Callithrix jacchus: one gene and its partner. The protein of the gene in region 2 purifies or fractionates together with the protein of the main gene of each other region. This does not show direct contact. Links are inferred from orthologs where the notes say so. Each region holds a gene or a part of one and is shown on either strand. Other genes may lie near its edges.

Region 1 (3,822 bases), on a different chromosome or scaffold from region 2:
CATCATCATCTTTTTCAATGTTTTCTTTCTCAGTGTCTTCTTTCTCTTCCTGGTCCTCGGCTTCACCTTAAGAAGTTGATGGGTCAAGAATTAGAACTTGTTACTCTCCTTAATACAACCTCACATCTCATCAATAAAATACATTTTGAATGTGCTTAACTTATGCACCTCATAGTAAACACCTCTCAGCTTTTGGAGTAAAACCTTCAAGTTTTCAAAATCTCATTTTTGGTTCATTAATAATTGGCCTGCTCTTATAAGAAAAAGTTAGCTTTGGGAGAAAAAAACTCTTTCTAAATAAAGCTGCACTTCCATTTCCACCCTCTACAATCTTCAGAAATAGATTTGTGGTGTACTACAGTTAGGTAAAAAGTTAATGACAAAATAAAGCACCATCTTTAGCATGATAGAAACATGGTGTTTCTCAGACATTCTACATTTTTAAAAACTATTTTGAAATGTTGTATTTCTGGCATACAGTTCACAAATGAATTATAAGGATGTTTCCCGAATTTCCCAATAGAGACTTGGAGAGAATCATCCTTGCCATCTGAAGCAGCAGCACAAATCAGCCCCCATTGTAACCTGAGGACCCCATGCAGCCCAGGCTCTTGGCCCCACTAACCGTTGTCCTTTGTGGTCTCTGCCTCGGCTGCCTCCTCTAATCCTGTTGTTTTTAGTTTCACCTCTGGGCCATATTCACTATCCTGCTCATTGGAAGGTGCAGCTGAAGTGATGTTTTCTTCTATTATTTTCCTTTCAGCTTCTCGCTCCAATTCTTCTATCTCCTGCAGGCGTTTTTCCAATAACTCAGCCTGCCTCTTCTGTTTCTTTTTCAGTTTTTTCTTTTTGTTTTTAGATATTTTTCCTATCTATAACATGTTAAGAAAAGACCACAGGTCAGTTTTCTTCTTTTTAAAGCACACATGATAGTATAACTGCTGGCAGCATGGCAACTAACAAAAAACTCCGCTTTCTCATGCCATATTCTACTAAAATCCCAAACCCAGACATCCACCTCATGGTAAGGCTTATGGTAAAATCAAAGGGAAAGCAGTGCTGACTGATATCACATGCTAGGTCTACTACCAGGTCCTGCCCTCAGAGGGATACAGCTTAAATCCAGTAAGCCTTCACCATTCAAACTCTCAGAGAACTGAAGTCCAAAATTCTCTTGGCCTTAGAGAAGCTCCTCTTGGAAGTTTTATTTGCTGCCCTCTATATACAAAATAACAACATCCCATCTCCTCACTACCAAAAATGAAACAGGTGCCCAAGCAGGTGTATGTCACTGTGTTTGGGTCTCACATATGTCTTGGAAGCTCTTACCAGCCAAGACAACATGAACTGTAAGAGATAAGCCTAAGCAGCAATGTGAAAGAAGAAAAAGCCACAGCTTTTGTTTGCCTCCCATCATGGCCAGCTGACTTGCAAAGCACTGGCAAGGAGAGCCTCCAATCCTTCATACAGTAAACTCAGGTGGCTTGAGCCAGGGAAGAACTATGGGAAACAACTTGGGCTCCTCAGCAAGCCAGGAAGCCTAATTATTACAGCTCCCTCTTGTTCCAGAACTTACGTTCCAAATCAAGGGTTGTCTCAGTAAACATAGTGTTTTCTTGTTATTTTGTTTTTTGTTGTTGTTTTCTTTTTCTTTGAGATGGGGTCTTGTTCGGTTGCATAGGCTGGAGTGCACTGGCGTGACTTTGGCTCACTGCTACCTCCATTTCCTGGGTTCAAGTGTTTCTCATGCCTCAGCCTCCCATGTAGCTGGGAGTACAGGTACATGCCATCATGCCCGGCTGATTTTTTTTTTTGAGACAGAGTCTCACTCAGTCACCCAGGATGGAGTCCAATGGCCTAATCTCAGCTCATTGCAACCTCCCCCTCCTGGGCTCAACAGATTCTCCTGCCTCACCCTCCTGAGTAGCTGAGATTACAGGCATCCGCCAGCACACTCGGCTAGTTTTTGCATTTTTTGGTAGAGACAGGGTTTCACCATGTTAGCCAGGGTGGTCTCGAAGTCCTGACCTCAAGAGATCTGCTGGCCTCAGCCTCCCAAAATGTTGGAATTACAGGTGTCAGCCACCACACCTGGTACCTAGTACTGACATAGTGTTTTGACAGGACTACAAACTATCTCTTTCTTATTTAACATCTGGCTGGAAAAAAATTAGAACAACAGCTTCGGAAAAGGTAACTTAGCAGCCAATCAGAAATAATATAAAGTGGTTTTGAAATAAAAGTGCTTCAACTCCACCACCTCACATTTCATTAGACTTGGCCAACCGTAGTCCAGAAAATGCATAAAGAAGACAATCATTGAAAGGCTCTAACCATTCCAATTCTGCAGAGATCCCTAAAACTTAACGAGACAGGCCAGGTGTGATGGCTCATGCATGTAATCTCAGAACTTTGAGAAGCCAAGATGGGAAGATCACTTGAGGTCAGGAATTCGAGACCAGCCTGACCAACATGGTGAAACTCCATCTCTACTAAAAGTACAAAAATTAGCTGAGCATGGTGGTGGGTGCCTGTAATCCCAGCTACTCGGAAGGCTGAGGCAGGAGAATCGTTTGAACCTGGGAGGGGGAGGCTGCAGTGAGCCAAGATCGCAACACTGCATGCCAGCCTGAGCAGTAATGCAAGACTCAGTCACATACACACACAAAATCCAAAAAACACTTAACAAGACAGTAAGTCTTAAATATTTGAGGATACACAGCATTTATAAATGTGTCTACCCTTTAAATTAATATATACTACCACTTTTTAATAATTTGAACTGCTCAAACAGTTTCTTTTGCCATGGTGCATAAAAGTAATATGCGTTAAGTACTTACAGGTTTCTGCTGTGGAGCCGTACTCACTAAAATAAAATGAAACAAAATTGGTATTTAGCAGAAAACAGACACATACCTTCATGCAGGTCATTTGGATTGCAAAATGACATAATTATTATCTTTTAATGACTATCCAACTTCACAAACATATTAATCAGAGCTTCGTAATCACTGGGATCTAGAGAAAGTTTATGCAACTGAAACAAACAACGGACTCTTAAAATGCATAGCAGAAAAGTTGTTCATACTGAGCCATTTCTTTTATTTATCTAAAATGAAATACTAATACATCTCAAAAACAGTCAATCCCAAAGCACCAACAGATAGCTTAAGAAAATGGAAAATAATTCATACATATCACAGTCATTAAACCAAATTTGTTATAAATAAAATGAAATAAACAATTTAGATTAGATGTACATTTATATTTGAAATCTATTTTGCAAGCTTTCTACAATTTAAATCAAATACTGCAGTTGGTATGCAGCTAATATTCTAGAAATCACATGATTAAACCCTATCAGGGCCATAAGTTTGACAGTCTGGGTCCATGATCTAAACAACACCTGCAGTAGAGGAGATGTGAAGAGAGCCCCAGGCAGTCTCCAGAGTCTCAGCCCTTTACTATCTATGCTTGCCTGACAACACAAGGGCACAGACAATGTTGAAGATCCACAAAAGCACAGTCCACATTTCACTGCACCCCCACCAGAAATAAAGATATGCCAATACTCAGGTCACTTGGTCTTCTTCCCCCACCATCAGGCCTTTTCTAACTAACTCCAAATCCACTGATAAAACTCAGATTGACGTAGCTATGACAAATGGACAATAGGAATTACTGTAACATAACTGAAGCTAGAAAAATATTCTGATGACTAAAAGTCAGCTCCAGGAAAGCTGTTATTATGTTCTCCTCTGCAGAGAAGTGGGCAACAGAAAAAACTGTTCCAATATTAATGAAGCAGCAACTACAAATTTA
Region 2 (3,822 bases):
AAGTCTGCTGATTTTCAATGCCATAAAATATCCCACAGAGAAAATAAAAATTCTTTTTATTTCAGGGTGGAAAAAACATATCCTGTGGAATAAGACATGACTTAAAACAACAAATTTTTGTTTGGTAGATTTAATCTTATTATGTATTTATGTACTCAAACCAAACTTTATCATCCAAATTAAGGATAAAAAAGTTAAACCTACCAGGAAAATAACTGATGCCATATTTAAAATAACTTTTCTGTAATTCTAATCCTACTCATTAACTGACATGAAAGTAGAAAAAAACTTCTAAGATTTTGTATTTTAGAAAGGATTTACTCATTAAAAAAAAAAAACTCATATAAGCTTGAATTCTGTTAATCTGGCACATGAAAGTTTATAATAAAGAGCAGCAACCCGCTGCCTGGTTTGAAGCTTCCGTTATCTAGTTTGCAGGCAATTACTCTGCAATAATTACAAAATATTGTAAATATCTACTCACTGTTCCCACCCTGGTCGACCACCACCTGGACGAGCAGTATTTATTCGTACTGGACCTAGAAACAAAAAATCAAAACAGTAAGGTACATATAAAGTTACCTATTAAATCAAGCTAAAATTATTTTTTAAAGTCTAAAAGTGATCTTACTCACCAGTTGTGGGGATCAACTGTCCGTGCAATAATGACTGTCCAAGCAAAGATGGGGTTCCAAGAACAGGCACCTGGTAACCCTTCAGAAACAACCACAAATAAACAGAAATGGTTAAAAAAAAAAAAAAAAAAAAAGAAGAGGTAAAAACAAAACCCTACTATAAAAAAATAAAATTTACCTTCTCTTCCATAAGAGCGGTAATTGCAATTGAGGAGGTTCCCTTTGAGTGCTCTGATGCAAGAGCAGCAGCTGGCAATATTTTATTATCAGAATCCCTTAAAAAATATAAATTACAATACATTAAAAATTATCAGAAATGGACAATTAAGAGTAAAAAAGTTTGTTGCTGTTTATCCATCACCTGCAGTAAGATGAGTCAAAGATGATGACTACTTTTGAGGAACGTGGGAGAGGACTGAAACTTTGAAGAGTTCTCTATATGTAAGTGGAAAAGTATAATGAAGGACCCTCCCTAAGAAGATATGATAGTTATGACAGAAATCAGTTGCAAGAAGAGTAAAACTTAATCAAAGTGTGGCCTATGGAGACAAAAATCCCCCTAGGATTAGGAGTGTTTTAGCTCTAGTTCTATCACTAAACTAAAAGGATAATCTTGGGTCAGCCACAGAACTCTCTGAGCCTATTCCCACTATCAACCAAACAAATTCCACTAGATTAGAATTTCTTAAATGTGTATGTAAAGGTCTCATCCTAAAGATTTTGCTTCATATGTCTGAAATGGGCCTCTGATACCTATTTTTTTTAAAGAATTTACAAGCCATTAAGCTACATGGACAAAAGTCTCATTTCTGAAGTGGTAGGCTTTAATAGTTTTCACTATTCTCCTACATTACTTATGCCCCCAATCACTTTCCTGAGTTCTCTACTTACCTGTTTTTACCCCCTTGTCTCTACCTATCCAAACTGTTCTACTCAAATCTACTCCTATTCAATACCATCACCCAAGTGAATTCTCCCACCTCTGAAGTTCAGAGTTGTTATGGTATACAGTACATTTAACGTTAAACAGGGGCTTGCTGGCAACCTGTGTAGTATTTGACCTTGGCACGCTTAATCATCATTTGCCAAATGAAATCACCTTTATTTTCCTCTTCCCGCAATAAGACTAAGTCATTTCTTACAAGTCATCCCATGTTACTGAACACAGTGGTCCACTAAGAAAGCTATTAAAGTCAGGCGTGGTGGCTCAGGCCTGTAATCTCAGCACTTTGGGAGGCTGAGGTGCGTGGATCACAAGGTTAGGAGTTCAAGACCAGCCTGACCTATATTAAAGTTGCTGCAGTTAAAAAAAGAAAAAAAAGACCAGCCTGAGCAACATGGTAAAACCCCATCTCTACAAAAAATACAAAAATTAGCTGGGTGTGGTGGCACACACCTTGCAGTCCCAGCTACTTGGGAGGCTGAGGCAAGGAATCACTTGAGCCGGGAGACAGAGGTTGCAGTGAGCGAAGATTGTGACACTGCATTCCAGCCTGAGTGACAGAACGAGATTTCCTCTCAAAAAAAAGAAAAAAAAAAAAGAAAGCTATTAAAGTGATACCCAACAACAAAACCTAACATCATTGACCTCATTTGGTTTCTAACAGTGAAAAATACATAGGCTTACCGAAAGGGTCCATCTGATTTTTCTGAATGGACTGAGATGGATACTGTTGCAGTTATATCAGGTACAGGAGCTGGAACAGAAGATGGATTTCCAGAAACAGGAGGGGCCAAGGAAGACTGATTAGAAGTTAATGAAGATATAGAAGGAGTTGGGTGAGTTGATGAAGATGTCACTGGAATCATGAGAGGATCTTGTTGTCTTGATATTGGAGATCTCATCAGAGGTTGTAGGTTTCTCTGAATCAGTGGTCTTGGAGGTGGTATTGGGGGTGGTGGAGGAGGTAACTGTTTTCGTAGTCTTTTTGTATAACCAGTTTCATTTTTGAAGTTATTAACAGCCTAAGGACCAAGCATAATAATGCAGAAAAATATTATGTAGTATTCACTGAAGTACAGTTAAATCAGTTAAAGATTAAAAAGAAATTTTTCATAAAATGGATATAAAAGATAGCTACCTGTCGTAAAAATTTATTGGCAATTAAAGCATCAGGAGAAACATCATTTTGATGACAAGTTGGACATGTATGCTCATCTGATTCCAGGAGTGCTGTTCTTATACCTATGTGTAAGATTTCAAATATTAATAAAAACATGGTAGGAACTCAGTGTTTACAGAATGAATTAAAAGGATGGCCTACAATTGTTCTGTTACATTACTGGTTTCCAAGCACGTCGTGCTACTCATTTCTTAAGTAAAATCTCTTATCTTATAAGTACTCCTCTGCTCTTTTCTCTATGATCTATGCTATGCTAAAAAAAGAGAAGTCATAGCTGGGTGTGGTGGCCTGAGACAGGATGCCACCTTGGGAGGCTGAGACAGGAGAATCACTTGAGTCCCGAAGTTCAAGGCCAGACTTGGGGAAAATAGCAAGGACCTCCACTATTTTTTTTTTTTTCCCTAAAAGGACACATTTAAATAAATGTCTGAACTGAGAGCAAAAGCACTTTCTCAAATACTATTCTTTGTTTAGGTAGTAAATGGAATATTGTAGAAAACAAAATAGAAATATGAGTCAGTCTAGAAAGACAAAACTTTTACATGGCTAACTTGGGGTTTTCATTCAGGCAAGGAAATGAGACCTACAGCACAGCAAGTGAGAGCAACACTAAATTACAGATATGAAGATCATGCTTCAATGTAATAAAGCTCCAGGAATATCAAGTGGTTTGTTAAATCTAAGATATACTCTGAAACAAGTCTTTACCAACTTCTTCTTGACCTTGGCCTTTTCACCGAAGAGGTCAAAAAACAAAGATTTACAGGTATCTGAAGGGGAGAGATTCCAGGACCCTCTGAGGATAACAAAATCTGCAGATGCTCAAGTCCCTCAACTACCTCAAAGGCATAGTATTTGTATATAACTACTATGTACATCTTCCAGCATACTTTAAATAATCTCTAGATTGCTTATAATACCTGCTGCAATATAAGTGCTATGCAAATATTTGTTATACTATATTTTAAAATCTGTATTCGTCTTTACGATTGTATTATTTTTTACTGTTTCTTCCCCCCAAATATTTTTCATCTGTGGTTGGCTGAATCTGCAGGTGCAGAACC

The links.
Region 1: the proteins of RBBP6 (region 2) and SRPK2 purify together in Homo sapiens (affinity purification with mass spectrometry; 4 studies listed by BioGRID and IntAct, with this or other methods). This does not show direct contact. The link is inferred for Callithrix jacchus from reciprocal best matches to the Homo sapiens genes RBBP6 and SRPK2.

What each region holds. Positions count from the first base shown.
Region 1 is NC_133512.1:75,525,511-75,529,332, forward strand, and holds part of SRPK2 (SRSF protein kinase 2), read right to left. Parts: intron 2,867-3,822; coding exon 2,841-2,866; intron 873-2,840; coding exon 626-872; intron 67-625; coding exon 1-66. UniProt on the Homo sapiens protein: Serine/arginine-rich protein-specific kinase which specifically phosphorylates its substrates at serine residues located in regions rich in arginine/serine dipeptides, known as RS domains and is involved in the phosphorylation of SR splicing factors and the regulation of splicing.
Region 2 is NC_133513.1:25,147,847-25,151,668, reverse strand, and holds part of RBBP6 (E3 ubiquitin-protein ligase RBBP6), read right to left. Parts: intron 2,821-3,822; coding exon 2,717-2,820; intron 2,601-2,716; coding exon 2,263-2,600; intron 911-2,262; coding exon 814-910; intron 715-813; coding exon 636-714; intron 540-635; coding exon 485-539; intron 1-484. UniProt on the Homo sapiens protein: E3 ubiquitin-protein ligase which promotes ubiquitination of YBX1, leading to its degradation by the proteasome.